Astyanax mexicanus: one gene and its partners. The protein of the gene in region 3 purifies or fractionates together with the protein of the main gene of each other region. This does not show direct contact. Links are inferred from orthologs where the notes say so. Each region holds a gene or a part of one and is shown on either strand. Other genes may lie near its edges.

Region 1 (7,345 bases), about 30 Mb from region 3:
ATTTAGTGTATTGAAAATTAAAACTCAACGTTTTGCATTTATCAATTTTGTTCCATTGTGATGCAGAATATAGCATGTTAGCTAGCTTTCCGCTAATGTTAACTAGGTCTCTGCTAACCCTGGTTTTCTCCACAGTGACGTAGCTAACTCGCCGCTAACGTTAGTATCTTAGCTAGCTCGTTGCTAAAGTTAACACAGCTAACCTTAGTTTTCTCCCGTTAATGTTAGCTAGCTCTGCACTAACTACACTAATTTAAGATTTTAATGATAAAGATTTTAATTTAAGGTATTTTAAGACTTTTTAAGGACCCGTGGGAACCCTGGTATTACCGAGTGGAAATAAAGGTCAATTGATTGATTGATAATAAACATATAAACCTTTTGTGCAGAAGCTGGTCTGAATTTTCAGGTGTGAAAATGTTCTAAAATATGTTTCTGAAATGATAATCTGACGTTTGGTTTCCAGTATTTTGGCCTCTCCACATTGAAACAGATGGAAGGCTGGAAATAAGCACCCGGCTGGATATGATGGAGTGATATAATGATGAAATGACGGAATGATGCACTCACTCTGTTACTCACTCTGTTCAGGTCGTCGATCTCGTTGCGGAAGTTGGTCTCTCCCTCCATAAGCTCCTCCTCCTCCATGGTGCGCTCATCGTCAAATTCCTGCACCAGCATTTCAGCCGAAGGGTCGAAGTCCACCGAAACCCCTGCAGCAGAACCACGCCCCCATCAGCCCTGATCCACCACAACACCTCACAACCACCAGAAATCAAAAACACAATCTACACTGATACAGATCTGCTCAGAGAAACTCCCACAACTTCAGACTGAGGCTTACCTGGGCTTGAATTCCCCAAGGAGGACTGCAGGAGACAGACAGAGAGACAGACAGACAGAGAGAGAGACAGACAGAGAGAGAGAGACAGGGTCAGAGAATGATCAGCTCATCTTCAACAATAATTTAGATGCTTCACAGTTCCTGAAGGATTACTAACGCTCAGAGCTGGATGATACGTCCAAAACGTAAATCACAATATATATATATATAGACCTAGGAAAAAATAAGAGAGCACTTAAAAATGATGAGTTTCTTTGATTTTACCAAATTAAAACCTCTGGAATATAATCAAGAGGAAGATGGATGATCACAAACCATCAAACCACCAAACTGAACTGCTTGAATTTTTACACCAGGAGTAAAGCAGCATAAAGTTATCCAAAAGCAGTGTGTAAGACTGGTGGAGGAGAACATGACGCCAAGATGCATGATTAAAAACTGTGATTAAAAACCAACCAGGGTTATTCCACCAAATATTGATTATTTCTGAACTCTTAAAACTTTATGAATATGAACTTGTTTTCTTTGCATTATTTGAGGTCTGAAAGCTCTGCATCTTTTTTGTTATTTCAGTCATTTCTCATTTTCTGTAAATAAATGCTCTAAATGAGAATATTTTTATTTGTAATTTGGGAGAAATGTTGTCTGTAGTTTATAGAATAAAACAACAATGTTCATTTTACTCAAACATAAACCTATAAATAGCAAAATCAGAGAAACTGATTCAGAAACTGAAGTGATATCTTTAATTTTCTCGAGAGCTGGAGAACTTAGGTCACTACAGTATAATTGATAATTCCAACAGAGATACGAACAGTATAAATCCACCGTCGTGCTGTACATCACACACACAGTAGTGCTGGGCGGTATGACCAAAAATGTATATCACAGTATTTTTATTTTATCTTATTTATCTTATTCAGACTTTATTATCAGAAAAACAGCTGAAGAATGTGAACAATAGACTTTAGAAAAAGATATGCAACAACTTCAACATGGCTTATTTTTTTAAATAGTTCCATAAACACTACAAATGGACCCAATATACTCAGCATTTAAGTATTTAAAATATATATATCAATTTATATTGTTTTTCTGAAGACATTAGAGGCATTACTGTATTAAAATCAGCCACAGTTGCCTTCTCTCTCCAGTTAATAAATACGTACAGTTTAGTTTGCATTAAAATATAATATCATTCAAGCTACAGTATTAATATATTTAAAACAGCTTTAGTTTTAGGGAGTTTTATTTCATTTGCTGAATAAATGAAGATTTGACTTTCAGTATATAATAATAATCTGGATTGATAGGCAGCATATAGTGAATTACACTGAATTAAACTGAATTTAAACCTGAATTAGTGATAAACTGGCAACATAAAATGAAACTGAATACGTATTAATGTAACAACCTGGTCATAGTCTGTAAAACTGAATTTAGTGGAAAAATAATTAAGTTTGTCCGTCATATAAATTGATAATCTGGAGTGACGGGCAAAGTATACTGAATTACACTGAAATAAACTTAATTTTAAACCAAATTACAGATAAACTGATGATTTTGGTGAAGCAGACTCGCAGTGTAAAACTGATTTTTATATTTATATGATTTAAAATGCAGTATAATGTGAATGATCAGCCCTATAAGTGTATTTAAATGCGGATTTAGATCCGAATTGAGATGTGGAACAGTGTGGAAGTTTGAGCTTTAGCTTCATTATCTCAGATTCAGATTTAACACACTGCAGCCCGTAACCCGCTCACAGAACTGATATTACTGAATAAAAAACACCGGAATAATAAAACCGTATTATTACATCACTACCCGCGCGCCGCCGCGGAATGCGCTTTATTTTAACCCGCTTTAATCCGGATTGAAATCCGCTAACAGGCTAACAGTGCTAATAAGTTTACAGTGGCGGGTATTTGTGTTAAAATCAACAAGTTTAAAGGCGGGAAAAGCCCGGTACTGCCCGCGCGCCGCTGCGGGGCTGAGTGCGGGGCCGTGGTGAGCGCGCGGGGCGCGGGGAGAGCGCGAGACCGCAGAAATCCCGCACTTTATTCCCTGTTTTTAGGAGAAATCAGGAGAGTTTCCGTCCTACCTCCGCCATATTCCGCCGCTGCATACGGGTCACTCAGGGGGCGGGGCCGCGGGAAGACCCGGATGAAGCAGAGCTGATCAGAGTGATTAAACTGCTTTAATTATTAATAAATTAGAATTAATATAAATTAATATACAGCACCATATATATGTATGGAGAAACATTCTCCTTGGTTGTTTTATTATTATTTTAATTTTATTATTTTTCCTACACTGTAAATTAATAATGAAGTGGTCAAACTTATGAGGGCCAGTTCCATCATAACGTTTTTTCATAGGGGATTTTGTTTCATTACTTAATTTTTTTCCTAAACTCATTTTTGTCGTTACTTAGTTGAGTAGTTTTTGCCATAATATGGACTAGAACAGGTCTCAGACCGGGTGTTAAGGAGCTAAAATTAGCTTTTATTTTATTTTATTTTTCAGTTCCACCTTAAATACTGCAGCCTCTACCTTCTTTTGCACCATTTAAGGTGGAATGGGAAAGTTAGCTAGCTATCCATTGATTTAAGCTAATTTTTATTTATTTATTTTTATTAGTTTCAGTAGATTCATTGTTTTATTTAAGCTGTTAATTTAATACAGAGGTAAGAAGCAGTTAGATAAATAAATGAATCTGAAAAATAATTTATCAGGAGAAATCTTATAATATATAGTTTGTCAACTAATGTTTATAAGGTAAACAGAGGGGGGTGTAATTCCTCTGTAACTTATAAAAGTGATATATCTTTAATAAAATACAAATATTTATACTTAGTAGTGAAAGAGCAGAGCTTGGTTTGGTTAGTAGAACATTTTCTGAAAGTTACAGATAACGTTCTTAAAACGTTCAAATCTGTCAAGTTTTCTGGATGTTCTTAAAATCTTTTATTGAACACTTTTAAACGTTCTGGTAACATCACTTGTGTCAATGTTTTAATTTTTAGTTGATGTTAGTTGATGGTACTGAAAATGTTTCCGTAATGTTAGTATTGGTCTAGCAGAGAAACATTCATGAAACGTTTCAAAACGTTGATAAACGTTCTCATAGCGTTCTCTGTTACGGTGTGAATATTGACAGATGTTTTGATTTAGTTTCAGTTTTTTAATTGAAATGTATACTAGTTTTAGTCACATATTACTTGTTTAGTCATCATTAGTTTTAGAATCTAATAAAACAGATTTTTATGTACAGATTTATTGTTGTACTGTTTTAGATTTGTACTATTATTTTGAGATTATTTATTTATTATTAATGTTTATTAAAACAAATAGCTTTTAGGTTTCGGTACATTAAAATTATGCTAATATTAAAAGGTTTTAAAGCAACTACGCTATAAAGATGAGAAAAATAAAGTCAAGTAACTAAAAATTAAACACTTCTACTGCAGTACAGGTTTCTACTAACATTACTGACGTTCTGTATCTGGACTTTTATTAATTAACCACTATATTTACACAATATGTGGGGCACTCCGATCACTGATCAATAATACTGTTTATTATAGATAAGTATCCAATTTGTCAGTCTTTCACCTTTTCATTTAGCTTTTATTAGTTGATGAAAAAATCTTATTAAATGTCACTATAATTTTCATGATAAATAAATTATGAATCAATATCTTTTGTAAACTGGGAATATGGTATGCAGGGTGTAGTGCAGCAAATAAATAATAAAAAATAAATAAGTCAAAAGGTATAAAAGAACAGTATTTATTATTTAGATAACAGTGTTATTATGTGACAGTTTCATCGGGATCATCTTCCCAGACCCAGATTAGGTTTAATCCCATCATTAATTTCATGACCTGGAAACTGACCCAACATGACTATTTGTTTTTTATTTAAAACAAAAAAACAAATCATACATATTAACACACACTATACACGTACAGTATAAGCAGGAACAAATGTGCAGGAAAGTATTTACAAATAGTAATAAAAATAATAACAATAATCAGATAATAGCATCAGTGTTACTGATATAAAATAAACTTTCAGTGATGCAGCTGCAGCAGCGACGCATGGGCCTGAGGCCTGTAACATTACTGAACTTAATATACTCTATATATCGTTTTATATAGAGAGCAAAAAATAATGTTTTAAATGCTGTTAGGACTCGATCCAGACCAGAACATACTGTAAATGTGAGGAGAGTAATAATACTATTGAGCATCACAAGTGATAGGAGGAGTCCTAATGAGTGGGTTGGGTAATTGAGTAAATTGGGGAGAAAATGGGAAAAAAATAGAAATAATATTATTTTTACCGTATCGATTGGGTGTTAGCTAGTTTTCCAGCTAACAATATTTAGTTAGTAGAACAGTTAACAAAAAACGGATTTTATGGATGTTCTTAGAACATTTTTATTTAACATGATATTTAACATTTTACAATGTTCCCAAACATTTACAACATCAAAGGGATTGAAAGCATTTAATAATAAACTCGAAATAAAAATGAATAAAATAGTAAAAAAAAAAAAGTACTAATTTTAAATCAATATTTTACTATTTACTATTTACTATGTTTTTTAATCGTTACAGTTAACAAAAAATGGATTTTATGGATGTTCTTAGAACATTTTTATTTGACTATTTTTTTTTAACGCTGTGGTAACATTGCTGCAACATCACTTGTGTCAGTGTTTCAAATGTTTAGTTTTTAACTTTTACCGTTTCCATAATGTTAATATTCGTCAGGATGGGAATCAATCAATTAAGCTTTATTTTCACTCGGGAAAAAACATTAAGAGAATGTTTCTGATAATTTACAACATCAAAGGGATTAAAAGCCTTTAATAATAAACTCGAAATAAAAAGGAATCAAGTAGTAAAAAAATAATAATAATAAAAAAGTACTACATATTAAATCAACATTTAACATGTATAAATAAAATATAAATGTACAACAGAAAATTCTAAAATACCATAAAAAACTAATTGACACATAAAAAGTAAAATATAAAATAAGTAAAAAGATAATAGTAAAAGTAAAGTAAAATGTTAAGAATGGTAAGAAATGATAAAATGAATAATAGAACTAAGAACAAGAATGAAAATATAAAACATTAGAATAAAAAATAAAAGTAATAATAAATAAAATAAAAGAAATGTTATTAAAAGAATGTTATGTGAGAAACTTTATAATAATGTTGTGATGCTAACTAGCATTAGCATCCTGGAACATTATCTCTAGTATTGTAACTAGTTAGCTATCAGAAAGCTGGACTACAACTCGACGAGGCTGTCAATCACTTCATTCCTAAGTGTAGCCCCGCCTCCTTCTTCTCTACGTAAATAAAAATGAGATGCAAAGTGGGCGGGGCTTTTCGTCACTGAAGTGTGATACAGTGTTCAGGATCTCCACAGGGCTGCTGGGTAATATATCAGTATCCAGTCTTTAGTCCGTTCAGCACTGTAAACTCCGCCCCCTCAGGCTGTAATTCCACTCTAATTCCCAGGTGGCGCCACTTCTGCCGTTTTGCAGCCCATCCCGCTCAGGTCGCTGATCCGGTCCATCTTAAACCCGAAGCAGTTTTTACGTTTCTCACGTTTGTTCGTTTGCTTGTTCGTTTGTTTGTTTGTAGGTTTTTTCCGTACAGGTGTTGAGCTCCTCCCTCGTGACTCCGCCTCCTGAACCACACCTGTCACATTAGCCCGCAGGGTGGCGACAGTTACCGTCACGTTGGCTGCTGGCACCTGGAGCACAGACAGGTAAGAGAAAGTAATTAACATACAGGTTAATTTATGTACGGTTAATTCTGCACAGGTAACACACAGTCTAATCAATATACAGGTAACACACAGTCTAATTAACATACAGGTAACACTGGTTATTTACCAAAAATGTACCACACACATACACTTACACACAGGTTAATTAACAATCAGGTAACACAGGTTAATTAACACACAGACAAGTTAACACACAGGTAAATTGAAACACAGGTAACAATTAATTAATTAATATACAACACTGGTTATTTACCACAAATGTAACACATAGGTTAATTAATGCAGAGGTAACACAGTTTAATTAATATACAGATAATACTGGCTATTTAACACAAATGTAACAAATAAGTTAATTACCAACCAGGTAACATAGGTTCATTAACACAGAGATAAATTAATGCACAGGTAACACACAGGTTCATTAACACAACACTTAACATGCAGGTAAATTAACACAATGGTAACAAACTGGTTAATTTACATCAGCTAACATAATACTTAACACAAAGATACATTAACGCACAGTTAAAAGAACTCGTTAATTAACACACAGGTTAATTAACAACCAGGTAACACACATATACGTTAACACACAGATAACACACAGGTTAATTACCAGCACTGGTTAATGAACAGACAGAGTGCAGTAACTGCAGGTGTGCATGCAGGTAAAGTGTGGTAG
Region 2 (7,913 bases), on a different chromosome or scaffold from region 3:
GGTATTATCGCGATAACGATACTCTTGACGATATGACAAAAAAAAAAAAAAAAATACACTACTGCAACAAAACAAAACTTACATTATATTATTGTATACGATATGATATTGCACATCTCTAACTGAGATAAAAATACAAGAATATCTCCATATATACAGTAGGGGTGGGCGATATGGCTCTAAAATAATATCACGATATTTCAGGGTATTTTTTGCGATAACGATATACTTGGCGATATAGGAAAACAGAAAAATAATTAATTAATTTCAGGAATATAGTATAAGAGTATAAAAGCATAATCATAATGTGGCAAAATATAGCATAAAATAATATAATGCAGCAAAAAATATTGCAGAATATTTAGTGCAAGCATATAAACTGCAAAATAAAACAATTATACAATAAATACACCTAAAGCTTCACAGTAAATAATAGACTACTTTTAAGACAGAACATCTCTATTATCACGATATGGATTTTTAATATCACAATATTTCTGTCTCACGATATATTGTATACGATATAATATTGCCCACCCCTACATAGGAGCTTAGTATTTTACATATTTTACATTTTCATTAATGTTAGTCATTTAACATGTTATGTGTTAGTTGATTTTACAATTTCATTGGCATCACTTTTTATTAGAGATATAATAATATAAGCAAATTAAGAGGCAAAACAGAGAAAAGAGGAAGGAAAAAAAAACAAAACAAAAAAAAAGAAGACAAAAAGGTGGGGAAAAACAAAAAGACAAAATATTGCAAGAAGAAAATAAAAATATTAAGGAACAACAACAAAATGAGCAGAACAGCGACAAAAAAGAAACTATAAATAAATATTTATTTGGTTTATATGTGGAGACAAGAGAGAAAAAGAAAGAAAATGGATAGAGAAAGAGGGAATACGAAAGATAGAAAGATACGTATTGCCTAGTCAGTATGTATGAGTGTTTGTTTAGAAACATAAATTAATTAGTTTGTATTAATTTGGCTGGTAATTATGACCAAGCACTAAAAATAGGACTCTCTGGGGAAGATAAACTAACAGGAACACAGTAGTTCTGGTGCTGTTCTGTACCTGAGAGTTGGAGCTGAGGGCGAACTTGGCGAGAGTACAGGCTTTAGACAGATCAATCAGCAACAGGAAGAACGGCAGCGCTTCACTGAGGAAAACACAGAAACAGGGTTCCTCAGCACTTCAGAAATACAGTCGAAATAAAAGTAGTAACGGCACATTAAAAAACTAAATAAACTAAAATAATAAAAAAGAATAAAAGCTCTTACTTGAGGCCCGTGAGCTCCTTTCCCAGGAAGTGAATAACCACAGTGCTGAAGACAAAACTGGAGAACACAGTGAAGAGACCAGCAATCCCTGCACACACACACACACACACACACCATATATTTCTATTGGTCCATGATGATCCAAACATAGCAAAAACAAACCAAAAAAAAAACAATGTGTACACTGGACGATATGGTAAAATTCTACATTACGATATATTTCTTAATTTTGGCCGATACACTTTGATTTGTAAAGAAAAAAAAGATTTAAATATTTAAAGACATTTTCACAATACACAGTATTTATCATGTTTTTGCACATAGACAATATGCACCAGTAGACAGTATGAACAGTACAGTGACATTTCTTACACTTTTGCAGCACATCATAAAATTAAACAGGCACTGATGATATTCTTAATATTCTTTAAAAAGTATTGTGGAGGAATTGTGCAGTGGTGAACTCACCGAGCATGTACTTGGAGCCGAGCTGCCTCAGGTTTTTAAACTGAACGTAAATGTAGACGATGGCCAGACACCTTGTGATGGTTAGGATTATGATGTCAGAGCTCAGGATTTTCTGAAAGAGCAAATAAAAGATTTTGTTTCCACTTTATTTTTAAACAGTTTCCAGTCAACTGTAGAAACCAACTACAGGTGTGAAAAACTCAATTCTGAGTTTTTGAGAATTAATATAGTATCGCAGACATTAATATCCCTTTAATATATTAGAATACCCCTAGTCAGAAAGTGTGTACTCTAAAGGCCTATGTACCTCCTGCACTTTAGGGCACTGGTAGTTCCAGTCACAGATTTGATCTCCTCCAGCGATGGCATTCATGGACATGAGGCAGATGGTCACGGCGATCGTCCCCACGATCACCTCCCAGGGATGCGAGGCCACAAACAGGCCATGCAGCCTGAAGAGCTGGGTCAGCATCGTCACAGCAATCAGCACGTCTTCTGCAGGAGAGAGACACACACAGAGACACCAATCAGAACCGGGTAAAGCCCCAATCTCAACACAAAGACACCAATCTGAACCTGGTGAAGCTCCAATCTCAACACAGAGACACCAATCTGAACCTGGTGAAGCTCCAATCTCAACACAAAGACACCAATCTGAACCTGGTGATGCTCCAATCTCAACACAGAGACACCAATCTGAACCTGGTGATGCTCCAATCTCAACACAGAGACACCAATCTGAACCTGGTGATGCTCCAATCTCAACACAGACACCAATCTGAACCTGGTGATGCTCCAATCTCAACACAGAGACACCAATCTGAACCTGGTGATGCTCCAATCTCAACACAGACACCAATCTGAACCTGGTGATGCTCCAATCTCAACACAGAGACACCAATCTGAACCTGGTGATGCTCCAATCTCAACACAGACACCAATCTGAACCTGGTGATGCTCCAATCTCAACACAGAGACACCAATCTGAACCGGGAGAAGCTCAAATCTCAACACAGAGACACCAATCAGTGCAGTGACTGCACTTAAGCATACTTTCAAAGTTTTTAAAAAAGTTTTCAAATGTTTTGGATTGACTGATTGGTTGAGTAGTTCTTGCTTCTTATAATATAAAGCTGTCAAAACTGTCATCCTCCACTTCCTCCTCTTTATGGATGATAATTTTATTGTTGCATTGTAATCAGATAATTTATACAGCAATATGAACCAGACGTTACACAAATTAAATATATTATTAATATAATGAGTAAAATATATTATATTTATTATTCCTCTCTATTATTTACTTATAAAGAACCACTTGGACTAACTGGCCAGTTTTTGCTTTACTGTTCCCCTTTTTTAATACAAAAATACATAGGCGTTTGCTATGAATACATTACATATAAATTATTACAGTATGTAATTAATAAGAGCTGAGATTAGAAGAAGAGGTGAAACAGAAGTCCAATATTTTGCGTAATGATGAAACACATGTGTCCTGTTACTCTGATACTGGATCAGTTCCGACATGCTGCACTAGAATGCGTCAAATGCCAAATCCTGCACCCCAAAGGACCCGTCCGCCTGCTAAAAAAAAAAAAGAATCAACCACCACTTTGCGACCACAGACTAAAAAATGCATTACCAAATAAATTGGTTAATATTTCAAAATATTCAAAAATATTGCAGGTTTAACTAATTAAACTGTCTTTTTTCTTTTAAGAAAAAGTATATTCACACTATTTACTTTTTGTATAAGCTACAATATCAAACATTCCAGGTAAATATATCTTTAAAAATATTTAAATGTTTTTTGTTAATATAACAATACTTAAACAATATTGGTATTATAAAAAACACGTTAAAATATTATAAAATTTAAAAAAAAAATCTTTTTTGTCTAAGAAAACGATTTTTCAGCCCCTCTAACTAATTTAGAGCTCAGACAGCACTCATTTATTTCAACCAATCAGAGAACAGCAGGAAGCGGAGGGAAGCCGGATTTCGTCGAGGACGAATGACAGCACAACACCGAGTGTCTATTTTAACGCCCTGCTAGCTGCCTTTAGCCGAAAGCTAAGCAGTTCTACCCACAGACATCAGCCAAGGTCAAACCCGCGTCCTGAAAGCAGCAGCGGCGCGGGCAGAGCCGCGCTCCGGAGAGCGGTGGCGGGTTAGAGGACCGGTGTTCCGCCCAGAGAATTACCTTCATGATATAATCCGCTCCGCAGCTCCTCCGCTTCTCCTCCCTCTACAGCGATGGCGGCTGTGAGTCAACCAAGGCGACCTGGCCACGCCCCCCGGTGTGTGATGTCACCCAGGGTCTGGTCCAATTTGTGTAGTATAGGCTGCACACTTGTACCCTAACTATGGGCCCTCCTTTTTTTTAAGTTTGGTCTGAGACACTAGAGGGCCTAAAATGAATGGGTTCTTATGGAGCACTTGAGCAAATTTTTTTATAAAGATTTCCTAACCTTTAACTCACAATATGCAAATTAGTCACAAACTGAAGTCACAACCATTTGCGTCTCACCACTATCAGAGGCACACTGCTACTGCTGCAGCTCAGCCAATCGGCTCTCCTTCCTACCCCGCCTCTAAACCCATACATCACCCAGCGTCCCTCTCAAACTACCCCTTACATTTTTTTGCCTTTTTCATTTTTGAGCTAGAGGTCGAGTCAGCTAAAATCATGCGAGCCATCAATATGTGCTACTTTTACATACTCATAATGTTGCTTTCCAAAAACGGGCCCTTTTCACATTTTTTTGGATATTTTTTTCCTTAATAAATGAAATCTTAATTTAAAAAGTGCTTTACATATTTTCCCAGGTTATATTTGTCTGAAATTAAAGTTTGTTTGATCATCTGAAAAATGTAGAAAGAAAGAAATCTGTAAGAGGCAAATACTTTTTTATGCCACTGTACGTGCATAAATATCTGTAATTCAAATTTCTCTATTGGCTATTATAAAAACACTATGATAAATTCTCTCACACTGCTTATGGCTGTTATTTTAATTGTAGCTCAGTGTGGGAAAATTCTGTATTTGATGTTTTCTGTTTTATTAATTATTTTTAATTATTTGTTTGTGCTGAAATTGTGTGGGTTTTTTTTATTGATCATCCCAGCGGATGCGGGCCTGTGTCTGCCGGTGATTCCGCGCATGCGCAGTGCGCTGCATTGTGCTGGGCAAGATGGCGTTGAGTAAAACGTTCGGTCAGAAACCGATTAAATTCCAGTTGGAGCAGGATGGAGATTTCTATATGATCGGTTCAGAGGTGCGTATTAAGCGTTTTATCAGTCCTGTAGAGTCTGAACTCGGAATACGAAGGGTTGGGGGCTAGTTTAGGCCGGTAACCCCCGGTACAGCGCGCCGTCCCCTCAGGCTTTGTTGGTTGTTAGCATAGATGCTAACGATGAATGAGTGAAGACTGAGGCAGCGCTTAAAACACTGTTACACTGAATTTTACACTGAATTCACACTGGATTTACACTGAATGTATCAGTTTATACACATCAGTTTTGCTCTAAATCATGTCTGTGTTGAGTTACCGCAGCAGTGTGGTGATGTTTACAGTAAACCCCCCAGTCTGTGTTAGATACAGCATCAGCTTTACCAACACTGTCCTTAAACAACTTCTAAAACCTCATATTTGTCTACTGCAGCTTTTAGATTTAGTAAAATAATCATTTAAGCCCTTACTGTAGCCTTATGAAAACGGTCTTCACCAAAGCAACGCAATATTTACAGTACACACACACACACACACAGTTATGGAAACATTAAGAGACCACTTCAGTTTCTGAATCAGTTTCTCTGAATTAACTATTTATAGGTAAATGTTTGAGCAAAATTATCATTATTGTTTTATTCCATAAATTACAAACAACATACTCTTAAAGTTTTAAGAGTTCAGAAATCAATATTTGGTGGAATAACCCTGTTTTTAATCACAGCATCATGAATGAGTGCAGTGAATAGCAGTATACACACACTAGTGCATCTCAAAAAATTAGAATAGTAGTTTTATTTTTAAGATGTTTGTAGGTACAGACATTTGTTGTGGGCATCCTTGGCAGTTTTTCTGGTGCTTTTATGTAGTTCTTATCAATATTGAAAATTATATCTTTTCTTAACCAGAATTAGGGACTCTAACTTGTGATATATATTTTTTTGGCCATATTGTCCTGTCCAAATGTATGTTTATTAAACTAGGACCTGGCATTGTAATGTTTTCTTCAATGTATATCAGAAGTGGTTTAACGTGATGATACACTCCACTTGAAAAATAAGTGATATTAGTCAGAAAATTATTTAAACTACTTAGTGTACATAAATGAGACTAGCTTTCATACACAGCAATATCTGTATTTCTGTATTTATAGCAAATATGCCACATAACTTGCAATGAATACAGATATTGTATGCTGTGTATGAAAGCTAGTCTTCAATAGACCTAATGTACGAAGTAGTTTAAATAATTTTCATAAATGCAAAATATAAAAGTTAGTGTTTCTGTTTTATTGGTGTAATATGGAGTTCAGTAGAGTGATGGTTGATGGAACAAAAAAAAACTATACATACTTAGTGCTGCTTCTCTGTCAGAAGACAGAAGAGCGGATCTTAAACAGTATTGTAAACAAACATTAACCAGATAAGCCACATTTCCAGAAAATAAACTGTTTAAATCTTTCTTTCAAAACAGTCTGAAGAGCTCAGAAAAGAACATACATTACAGTCAGGCCTGGGGCGCCCTCAGTAAAGTATACAGTGCAGAATTAAAATGACCAAATAAAACCAAACAGTCTGACAGGAGAGATATTTGTGGTCTGTAGTGGTATTTAATGTTTGTCATATTTCGGGTGTAATAATCATTATCTATTATTTGGGTCAGTGCTTTTTTAGTTTATTTTTATTTTTAAACATCTTGTCTATAAATATACACCTAATATGGGACTAAAAGATATGTATATGTAAAGAAAGATTAAATGCTTTTTTCATTTTGTATGATTTTGTTTGCACACCACTGCAAGTATTGATTGTGTTTTGACTGCATATTGTTCCCTATAGGTAGGAAACTACCTGCGTATGTTCAGAGGGTCACTGTACAAGAGGTACCCATCCTTGTGGCGACGGCTTGCGTCAGTGGAGGAGAGGAAAAAGATCGTAGCATCATCACACGGTAAGTGATTCGAATGCCAATAGCATTTGTTTTATGATGATTTTAAGTCCAGAAAGCAGTTTTAGGAGACCACGGTCTTGTTTAGTGCATGCCTTTGCTCCAGATAGTCCTGTAGTCCTGCTTCTGGACAGCATTTTGTGCAGTGTTTTATTTTGTGTAGGTTATTGTTACACAACTTTAGCCACCAGTGTGACTCTGCTGAAAGCGTCTGAGTGCGAGGAGATCTTTGAGGGGAACGATGAGAAATACAAGGCAGTGTCCATCAGCACGGAACCTCCAGCCTATCTCAGGTACGGCTCCTTTTTTTGTCTTTTCTCCTGGACTGAAAATACCCTGAATGTAGGTAAATGTTTTTTTACTTATTTTAAGGACAGTCAGTTTAGATGATGGACTGTTTTCTCTCCATTTTATTCAGAGAGCAGAAAGCGAAGAGGAACAGCCAATGGGTTCCAACCCTCCCCAACAGCTCTCACCACCTGGATGCTGTGCCTTGCTCCACTACAATCAACAGAAATCGCATGGGACGGGACAAGAAGAGGACGTTTCCCCTGTGGTGAGAGATGGTTTAATTTCTTAATTGCCATGGCTGTGGCTAAAACGTATTCTTATTTCCTTATTAGTATTTCAATAGACTTACTAAATAGTGCAAGAAACATTTATAAGTAGGATTTTAGTCAGTCGAACTTGAGGAGCTTCTGTATTGAATAGAATGTTAGCTATTCTGCTAAGTTAATGTTAACCAGCTTTTAACTCCTGGTTCATTTTGTCATTTGTAACGGCCAGATTCATAAAATAGTGCATGCACATAAACGGCAAACATAAACAGTACAAAAAATACACTTAATGCTTCACAGTAAATAATAGACTACTTTCAAAATTTGAAAATCCATCCATTGCACAGCCTTACCAGCTAGTAAGCTAATGCTATATGCACAAACACAGAACGACAGAAGCATTTTGGCATTTATAGTG
Region 3 (7,907 bases):
TCGAGTTACCAGCTGACGTCTCTGATGTAACTGTGTGTTTTACCTGATGCAGCAGTGCAGAGAGTAGTCTGTGTTTAAGAGTACATACAGCCACCTTGTGGACACATGACTGTGGTAATCCACAAATCAGAAGGACATCAGTGTAGACCTGTTATCCATCCATTTAATATACTGAGAATTCTGATTACTTCTTAAACAACTGTATACTAATAGAAACCCTTTTTTATTTCTGCAATAGATATATATATACATATATAAACCGTCAACCGTGCATTGTGCGGCTTGATTTATTGTTTGTCAGTCTGTCTTTGCTATCAAAACAACGTGAAAAGTAAACCTTGCCCGGCTTAGACACATAAAAGACGTGTCACTTGCTATTCCCTTTAAAACACAGGTTAGCTCTGACTTTGGCACATTTCTGGGGCACAGCCATGGGTGTGGTAATGGGGGGAAAAGTGGACCTGACTACTCAGGGCCCAAGTAGGAAGAGGGGCTCATGAAAATCCTGATTTGTTTTTGCTCACGTTCCTTGTGTAATGGCATGGATAGGGGCCCACTGACACTAAGAGTTGTGGGTGCAGACAGGGAGGGTGCAGAATTTGCTGCTATGCCCCTGGGTATACCTGGACATTAACAAAACTTCTTAGCAGAGTAAACTGACCTGCTTTTGTAATGCTCACTCATTCTGTTTATTGTTGATGTAAAAGTGCTATGGGTTTTTGCACTGCATTATGGATAAATCTGTTGACAATTCACTGCCAAGATTGCAATGACGTCTGACCAATGCCTAGGTTGCTTTCAGACAATGGCACACTTGTGTTTTCCGTTGCTAAGATAGCAATACGGCAAAAATATTCCTGAACACACCTCACTTCCAAACCACAACGCCCATCAGTGTAGATATATTCACCTTACTGTAATATCTACATCATGTAAAAGAAAAACTTATTACATCAGTTAATGTAGCACATACAACACAATAACCTTTATAGTCATAAATAATATATTATACAACAAAAGCCACAGTTAATCCTGTTAAAAACAAACACAATGCTATTGGCTGCTATCTTTCATCAGCTTTCTTGCCATTACATTTTAATTCATATTATACAGGATCTCTCCTATAGAAATCATTTGTTATTAAATTCTAAATAAATAGAAAATAATGTGACTGAAAACCCCTGTAGATAAGGCTTTTGTCCTATTTCATCCACATATTTTGACACTGGAGTTTTACCCATTTCTGCTGAGAGTGTGCAGAAATCACAAACAGTCCAGATAAAACAGAAAGTGGATTCCCATTATAATGTTCTGTTCCACCTTAAAAGCGCCAAAAATATTGACAGCTTGAAGACGGTGTGCCGCCACAGCAGCATTTAAGGCGGAATGGTAAATTAGCAGCATTTAAGGCGGGATAAATGTGCAAATGTGAGGTATTTATGTAAGGAAATTGTGTTTAAAGTTGATATTTCAAGCTAAGTAAAGCTAAGCGCTACTTACACATAATGCTGTAGCTCGAGCAGCTTGAGTGCCATAACTTAGACACAAGCCATCTGACCAATAATGAGGCAGGCAGGTAAACTAGAGAAATGTTCATTGACATGGAATGGTATGATCCACTTTAGGGGTGCTTGAAATCGTATAACAATATTCTTCCAGGCATAGATACTGTATTGTTTTTTTTTAGTATTGAACGTTATATGTAGCATTATTAAATGTTTTGACCCCCAAACTATTGTTTTAACCAATTTAGGTGGGGTTAAAGTCTTAATTGGGGTGGTCTGCCCCCACCTCCCCAATACCCCCGTAATTCGCACCCTGCCTTATACAAATAATATACAAATATTGTATGTAAAAAGTATGTTTATTTTTGTGGATTGTTACAGTAAGAAGAAAATGCAAAAAAAATCATTGAGCGAAAAAAAAAGCTGTAACATATTTAACAAATATGATGAAAAAAGCCCTCAAGAAGCATTAATTCATTAACTTACTTTGAACAGAACATTTCACTGTCCAATGTTTTTTCAAATTCAAACTACAGTAATTATATGGTTCCCTGAAAGTATGGTAAATTTGGAAAATATCATAATATTGAATTTTCAGCCTTGAATAATAAGCTTATCTTGGCATATGTTGAGGGCTTGAGACACATTGTTCATAACAGAGACTGTGAAAAAGTTCTATTGTAATTCAGATTGATGTACTCCTGTTTTGCAATAGGGCACTTCTTCAGATGAATGAGCTGTTAAACTGGGGTAAGGGTGGAATAATAGGGTGTGAAATGACCTCAGTATGACTATCAGACTTTCAATTGGTCAATTTTGCTGTCTTCTTCTTGTCTGACACGTTGTTGCACCATTACAAGAGCCAGTCATCTTCTTCTTTTGAGTCCTTAAATTGTCTAAGAACTTTACTTAGTCTTAATATATAGGGTTTAATGGTCAGTAAAGTCACAAGTATTCATCCAAGATCAGGAAACCTCAATTCCAGTAGCTTATCCACATATAGCTTGTGAACATCATTGCTGTGCAGTGAAAATCATGAATCCCCTAAATAGTGATTTTACAGGAGAAGGCAGTTTTTATACTTTTGAATGAAAGTTAGTGAAAAATAAGATTGTTTCATGTAATTTTAGAGCATTTTTATTGCTCTATTCATTCTGAATTATTTACTTATCCAGAGCAGCTACATGGTTCAAATGCTGGAGAAAACAACGGAAAAGGGGAGATTTGTGTTTTTCCCTGGACAGCAGCAACAAACAATATAACCAGTTCAAAAGTACATTGTATTATTTTGTATATAATCCACTGTTACAAGGTTGAATTTTAGGTCTTCTCAGACTGTATAGATAATGTAATGGAAAAGTTTGGGCACCCTTGGCCAGGTGATGAATTGTATTATGTTTTGGCATTTAGAAGCAGTAAAAATAACCTTTTTAGCTAATTAAACATAAATTACAATATATTGATATGTTCAACAAACCTTAATGCACAGTTACTCTCTCTCTCTCTCATAGCATAAATATATGGTCTGGCAAAACTTCTGAGTCAGGACGTGGTAGCACCCCTCTGGCAGAAATTACAACTAAAAGTCTCCTTGTTCCTAGTTGGTCCTACTCTGCTCTACTCCTGAGACACTTTTGAGTTTTCTTGCTGCTCTTTTAGTTTTTAGGTCTATCTACAAATTTTCTACACTGTTAAATTATTGCTGATGTTGAGGTATAATTTGGATCTTTATCTTCCTATAAGAAATGCAAGCTGGTTCAACACTTAGTTAGTCTTTTACACTTTAGCAGATATTTAAACAGTTTCTTAGAGAAGTCCATGTTTGCTAAATGTAAGTAAGGATAGAAAGATAGATAAATAGATGTGTAGCAGCTGGGTTTTTTATTTATTTATAATTTATAATTTATAAAGCATGGAAACTTGATTCATCTGACAGTTTCTAGTTAAAATAGGTGACATGCTTCTGGCCTGATTTGCTAAACAATGTATTAGACCTAAGAACTAGAGTGTGAAGAGCGAAAGACAGAGTAACATTATTAGGTTTGCTGAAAATAGACAACTAATTATAAACATGAAATAATAACAGAACTTGTGCCATATAATGCAAAAACACATTTCACCAAAAATCATTGAAGCTTGTTAACACAGAACTTACAGTTACAGGCAGAAGGGCTTACATGGGGAGAATGCAAATAAGATGGTGCCAACTACCCAGAGGTCAGGGTTGACAAAATACTAGATATTTGGACCTTAAAAAAAAGTATTCCATTTGTATCTGCTCTGGGTATTTTCTTTTAATAGAGTGAAATTTGCCCAGCGTTAGTAGAGTGTAAGTTCCCTTAACTTATGGTGGAACTCAGTATTAACCAATACATACAAAATATGTTTCAGGTACTGTAAGGTACAAATAAAGAAATATGAACAACTAGGAACAAGAGAGAAGCAATTGGTTAACTTTCTGACATGTACACAAAATTTAATTTTCCCAAACTTATAGTTTAATCTCTGGATAAACCAGTACATATAAAATTGGGTAACATTTCCTGACATTTACCATTATCTTATTCCATAACATCTCAAGCCAAAATGTCTATAACTGTCTGCTCTGGAGTTAAGTTTTCTTCCTGCAGCCTGACAGTTTTGAGTTGCTGCAGTACTGAACATCCAGGTCTGCTAGAAGCATAAAATCAATTCTGATTTTATTATACTCACACAGTTCCTCTTTTACTTACACTGTAAAACACAGAATGTTGTTACTCTCCTGTTCCTGGCTGTCCATATTTCTTTATTTGTATATAATTTAAGTACCAGTAAGACCTGGTGTGTATTTTGAATGTACTGATTTATACAGAGAAGTTAAGGAAACTTACACTCTAAAATGTGGGCCATATTATAAAGCATTACTCAATTGTTTTATGAAGTGAAGGTTTTAAATGCATAGGATAAAGCTGTGCTTTCGGTTTATTTTCACTGTCTGCACAACAAGATGTGTGTGGGCATGGGATTCTTTATGTGTAATGAACATTTCAACTATATTAACAAGTTTTAATAATCATGCAAAGTCTTACAGTAAAAGGAATATACTTTTTTATGCCAAATGCATTTTACATATATTGTTTAGTGTATTTGCTACTGCTTAATGTTTTTTTCAAAAACCTGGAAAACTAAAATATTTTGTATATTTGTATGTTCTACATATATTTATTTTTAATATATGATAATTTTGTGCACACGTTTTACACATTTATTTTTAAATTTGCACAGAACATGTTTAAAGTATGTACTGTATCATAATTAATATTAGGATATTCTCCTTGGAATTGAGTCTGATAGAAAACTAGTGGATCTGTACGTGGATAACACACTACTTAGCAGCTGTGTAGAATTGAACTACATTTAAACTACATTTCCCATCCCTCTAACGGACCGCCCCATCGCTGGGATCAGCACAGTGTGATTGGTTGGTTGTACGCCGAATGCCAGCACGCTGAATGTGATTGGCTGCTGTGTGAGCGCGGGGTCCCGGATGTAGTGGCTGGTGGAACTATATAGCGAACTGAAAGGCGGGTAACTCAGTTTAAACGAAGCTCTCTGGATTTGTGTCCGCGCTCTACGGCAGTTAGATTCGCACAATGGTATCGTAAATACGGCTGTTTAATTTATTTTATAGTCTGTTTGTGGTCTGTTTAATGTTATTAAGATATTTTAACGCGTTTTTCCGCAGGGTTTCATTCATTTAGTTCATTTAGTATAGAGCCCATTGTTTCCAGGGCTAGTTTCGGCTAACTAGCTAGCAGCTAACGACTCGGAGCCAGTTCGTTGCCTCGACGTTAGCTTAGCTAGCTGGCTAGCTTAGCCACAGACCGAAACGTAGTGCTAGGTTGCTAACCTAACGCTAGCTTACTCGCTGCCTGTAAAAAGCAAGGCAAGGGCGCCCATAAGGCTGTTAGATTTTACCGCGCTTGTTTAAAACACTGTAAAAAGCCCGGATATAAATTTAAGCTCTTAATTTCTCCGTTGTTATTTTTCAGGCTGGAGGAAAAGCTGGTAAGGACTCAGGAAAGGCGAAAGCCAAGGCTGTTTCTCGCTCCCAGAGGGCAGGACTGCAGGTTTGTACCGAGACCGCCGCGCTAACAGGCGGGCTGCCGCCGTATAACTGAAAATTGCTTCTTTTTTTACCATTATTGCTAAGCATTTAATCTAGTTAGCGTTCAAGCGTAAGAATTTACAAAAAAAACGTTCGGTTAATTGGTTTACTAGATAAATAAATAGTTTTGTTTCCCTATTTTTGCTTTTGTATGAGCTGATCACTGACCAAAATACCCGCAGCTGAAGCTTGTTAACTAGATGAAATGTAACGTTAGTTAAGTTATGTCTACAAGTGGTGGGCGATGTAGCCCTAAAATATCACGATAATTTTGCGACAACATTCTTGGCGGTATGACAGAATACTGAAAAAATAATTTAATTAAAATCCGGTTACAACAACAAAATTTATATTGCTGATATTATTGAATGCATATGAGATGTTACATGCCAAATTAAGGTTTTCACCAGGTTGTAACAAAAGTCAATTATCCAGACTGTCATGATGCTAATAATGCACTCCATATATCCAGTCTTGAAGCAAAAGAAATGATAATGGACAGAGATAATCAGTCTCTGAGATATTTCAGGGGAAGCATTAACAGTGCTTAAATTGTACCCAAATGGCCTTTTTTTTGTGCAATAACGAACATGTAAATAACCTTGTCTGCAAAAAAAAAGTATATGGTTAGTAAAAATATCATGGTTAACTAGTTTGATTAAATGTTTATCTACTAAAGGTTTGTGTACTTTGCTACAAAGAAATTCTTGGCAGTATGAACATTTAAATTAAAAATACAAATGTATCGAATACGATATGAATGCAGAATATTTTCTATTATTGCATACAATATAATATGCTATCCCTAATTGAGATATTCACAGATGTGAATGATCCAACATGAAATAAGTGATGCACTCCATATATCCAGGACTGAACTAAAAATAAATGTACTTATATAATCTGTCTATAGTAGATATTATTTAATGGGAAATGAGAACCGTGTGAATTTTTCTTTTCCTACAAACAGAAGAAAAAAAAAATCTGTGCCCCAATATTTCAGGGTATTTTTGCAATAACTGTGTACGTTCCAAAATTTGACATTGTGTGTAAGACAATATGGTACCCCACCAATGTCTAAACTAGCAAAAAAATAAATCTAAAACCAAGTGGTAGAAGCAGCAACAAATAAACAAATGGGTGCAGGGGATAAATACACATGCTTGTGAGTATTGCATTGGGGCAAAATCCAATTGAGGTTAAACATTTCTCCATTACCAAATTTTTGTTCCCCAAACTGAACATTGTAATATCCAGTCTAGATTTTTACACAGTAAAAATGTCAAATTTTGAATTAGTTGTTTTTTGTGTTATTTATATTGTATATCTATATCTTGTCTTTATGTGGCAGTTCCCTGTTGGACGTATTCACAGACATTTGAAGTCCAGAACCACAAGTCATGGGCGTGTAGGAGCCACTGCAGCTGTTTATAGTGCTGCTATTCTGGAGTACCTGACTGCTGAGGTAGGGGGATAGCAAAACATTCAGCCATATGAACATCAGCACTGATGTATGTAATCAGAATGTGTGTAGAGTTCTAGATGGCACGAGTTCTAGATGGCAAGCATGTATTTTACAGCTCTGTGATCATTGCAACCTTTCAGTTCCAAGACGTATGCCTGGCTAGTGAATATAATTTTAAAAATAAAAATAGGTCATTTTAATATTGATTATGTATCACTTTGAGTAGCTGCTTAGTGTTTCTATTCATACGTTGTATACACTTTGTCTTAGTTAAGTTCTATCTAGGAGATTTTTAGAATTTCCTCATGTGGAAAATCCTGCTAAGCAAGCCCTGTATTTTTTACTGACTGTACTAAATTGCCCCACTAATTAGGTTTCTGTTTCCACTTTTTAAGGTTCTTGAGCTGGCAGGAAATGCTTCCAAAGATTTGAAGGTGAAGCGTATTACCCCCCGCCATTTGCAGCTCGCCATCAGAGGTGATGAGGAGCTGGACTCCCTCATCAAAGCGACCATTGCTGGTGGTGGTAAGTTGTGTATATTTATAGTTTCGAATCAAAAGTTTTATTTAAGAGAAGGGTGTACGTTGGTTTTGGCAAGTATCAGACAATGTCAACACTTTTTAGAGCTTTGTCTGTAGAATGTGCAAGAAATTAGTTCAACACTACCAAACAACTTTTTTTATTTTTATTTTTTTTACTGTAGCTTGGCATTGATTTTTATAGTTTTCCATTTAACAACTTTCTCCTTTCTCTTTCTTCATTTAAGGTGTCATTCCCCACATTCACAAGT

The links.
Region 1: the proteins of histone H2A.Z (region 3) and mier1b purify together in Homo sapiens (affinity purification with mass spectrometry; 3 studies listed by BioGRID and IntAct, with this or other methods). This does not show direct contact. The link is inferred for Astyanax mexicanus from reciprocal best matches to the Homo sapiens genes H2AZ1 and MIER1.
Region 2: the proteins of histone H2A.Z (region 3) and smarcb1b purify together in Homo sapiens (affinity purification with mass spectrometry; 3 studies listed by BioGRID and IntAct, with this or other methods). This does not show direct contact. The link is inferred for Astyanax mexicanus from reciprocal best matches to the Homo sapiens genes H2AZ1 and SMARCB1.

Annotation. Positions count from the first base shown.
Region 1 is NC_064415.1:897,908-905,252, reverse strand, and holds the start of mier1b (mesoderm induction early response protein 1b), read right to left. Parts: upstream 3,008-7,345; 5' UTR 2,973-3,007; coding exon 2,949-2,972; intron 870-2,948; coding exon 845-869; intron 714-844; coding exon 571-713; intron 1-570. Other genes in the region: natriuretic peptide Na-NP-like, read right to left, coding at 6,379-6,627. UniProt on the Homo sapiens protein: Transcriptional repressor regulating the expression of a number of genes including SP1 target genes. Probably functions through recruitment of HDAC1 a histone deacetylase involved in chromatin silencing.
Region 2 is NC_064424.1:46,282,196-46,290,108, reverse strand, and holds the start of smarcb1b (SWI/SNF-related matrix-associated actin-dependent regulator of chromatin subfamily B member 1-A), read left to right. Parts: upstream 1-4,906; 5' UTR 4,907-4,952; coding exon 4,953-5,036; intron 5,037-6,829; coding exon 6,830-6,941; intron 6,942-7,101; coding exon 7,102-7,231; intron 7,232-7,356; coding exon 7,357-7,494; intron 7,495-7,913. Other genes in the region: hmgcrb (3-hydroxy-3-methylglutaryl-CoA reductase b), read right to left, coding at 1,082-1,166, 1,288-1,375, 1,756-1,867, 2,063-2,250, 3,261-3,285.
Region 3 is NC_064415.1:30,686,642-30,694,548, forward strand, and holds the start of histone H2A.Z, read left to right. Parts: upstream 1-4,891; 5' UTR 4,892-5,137; coding exon 5,138-5,140; intron 5,141-5,536; coding exon 5,537-5,614; intron 5,615-7,003; coding exon 7,004-7,117; intron 7,118-7,512; coding exon 7,513-7,642; intron 7,643-7,883; coding exon 7,884-7,907. UniProt on the Homo sapiens protein: Variant histone H2A which replaces conventional H2A in a subset of nucleosomes. Nucleosomes wrap and compact DNA into chromatin, limiting DNA accessibility to the cellular machineries which require DNA as a template.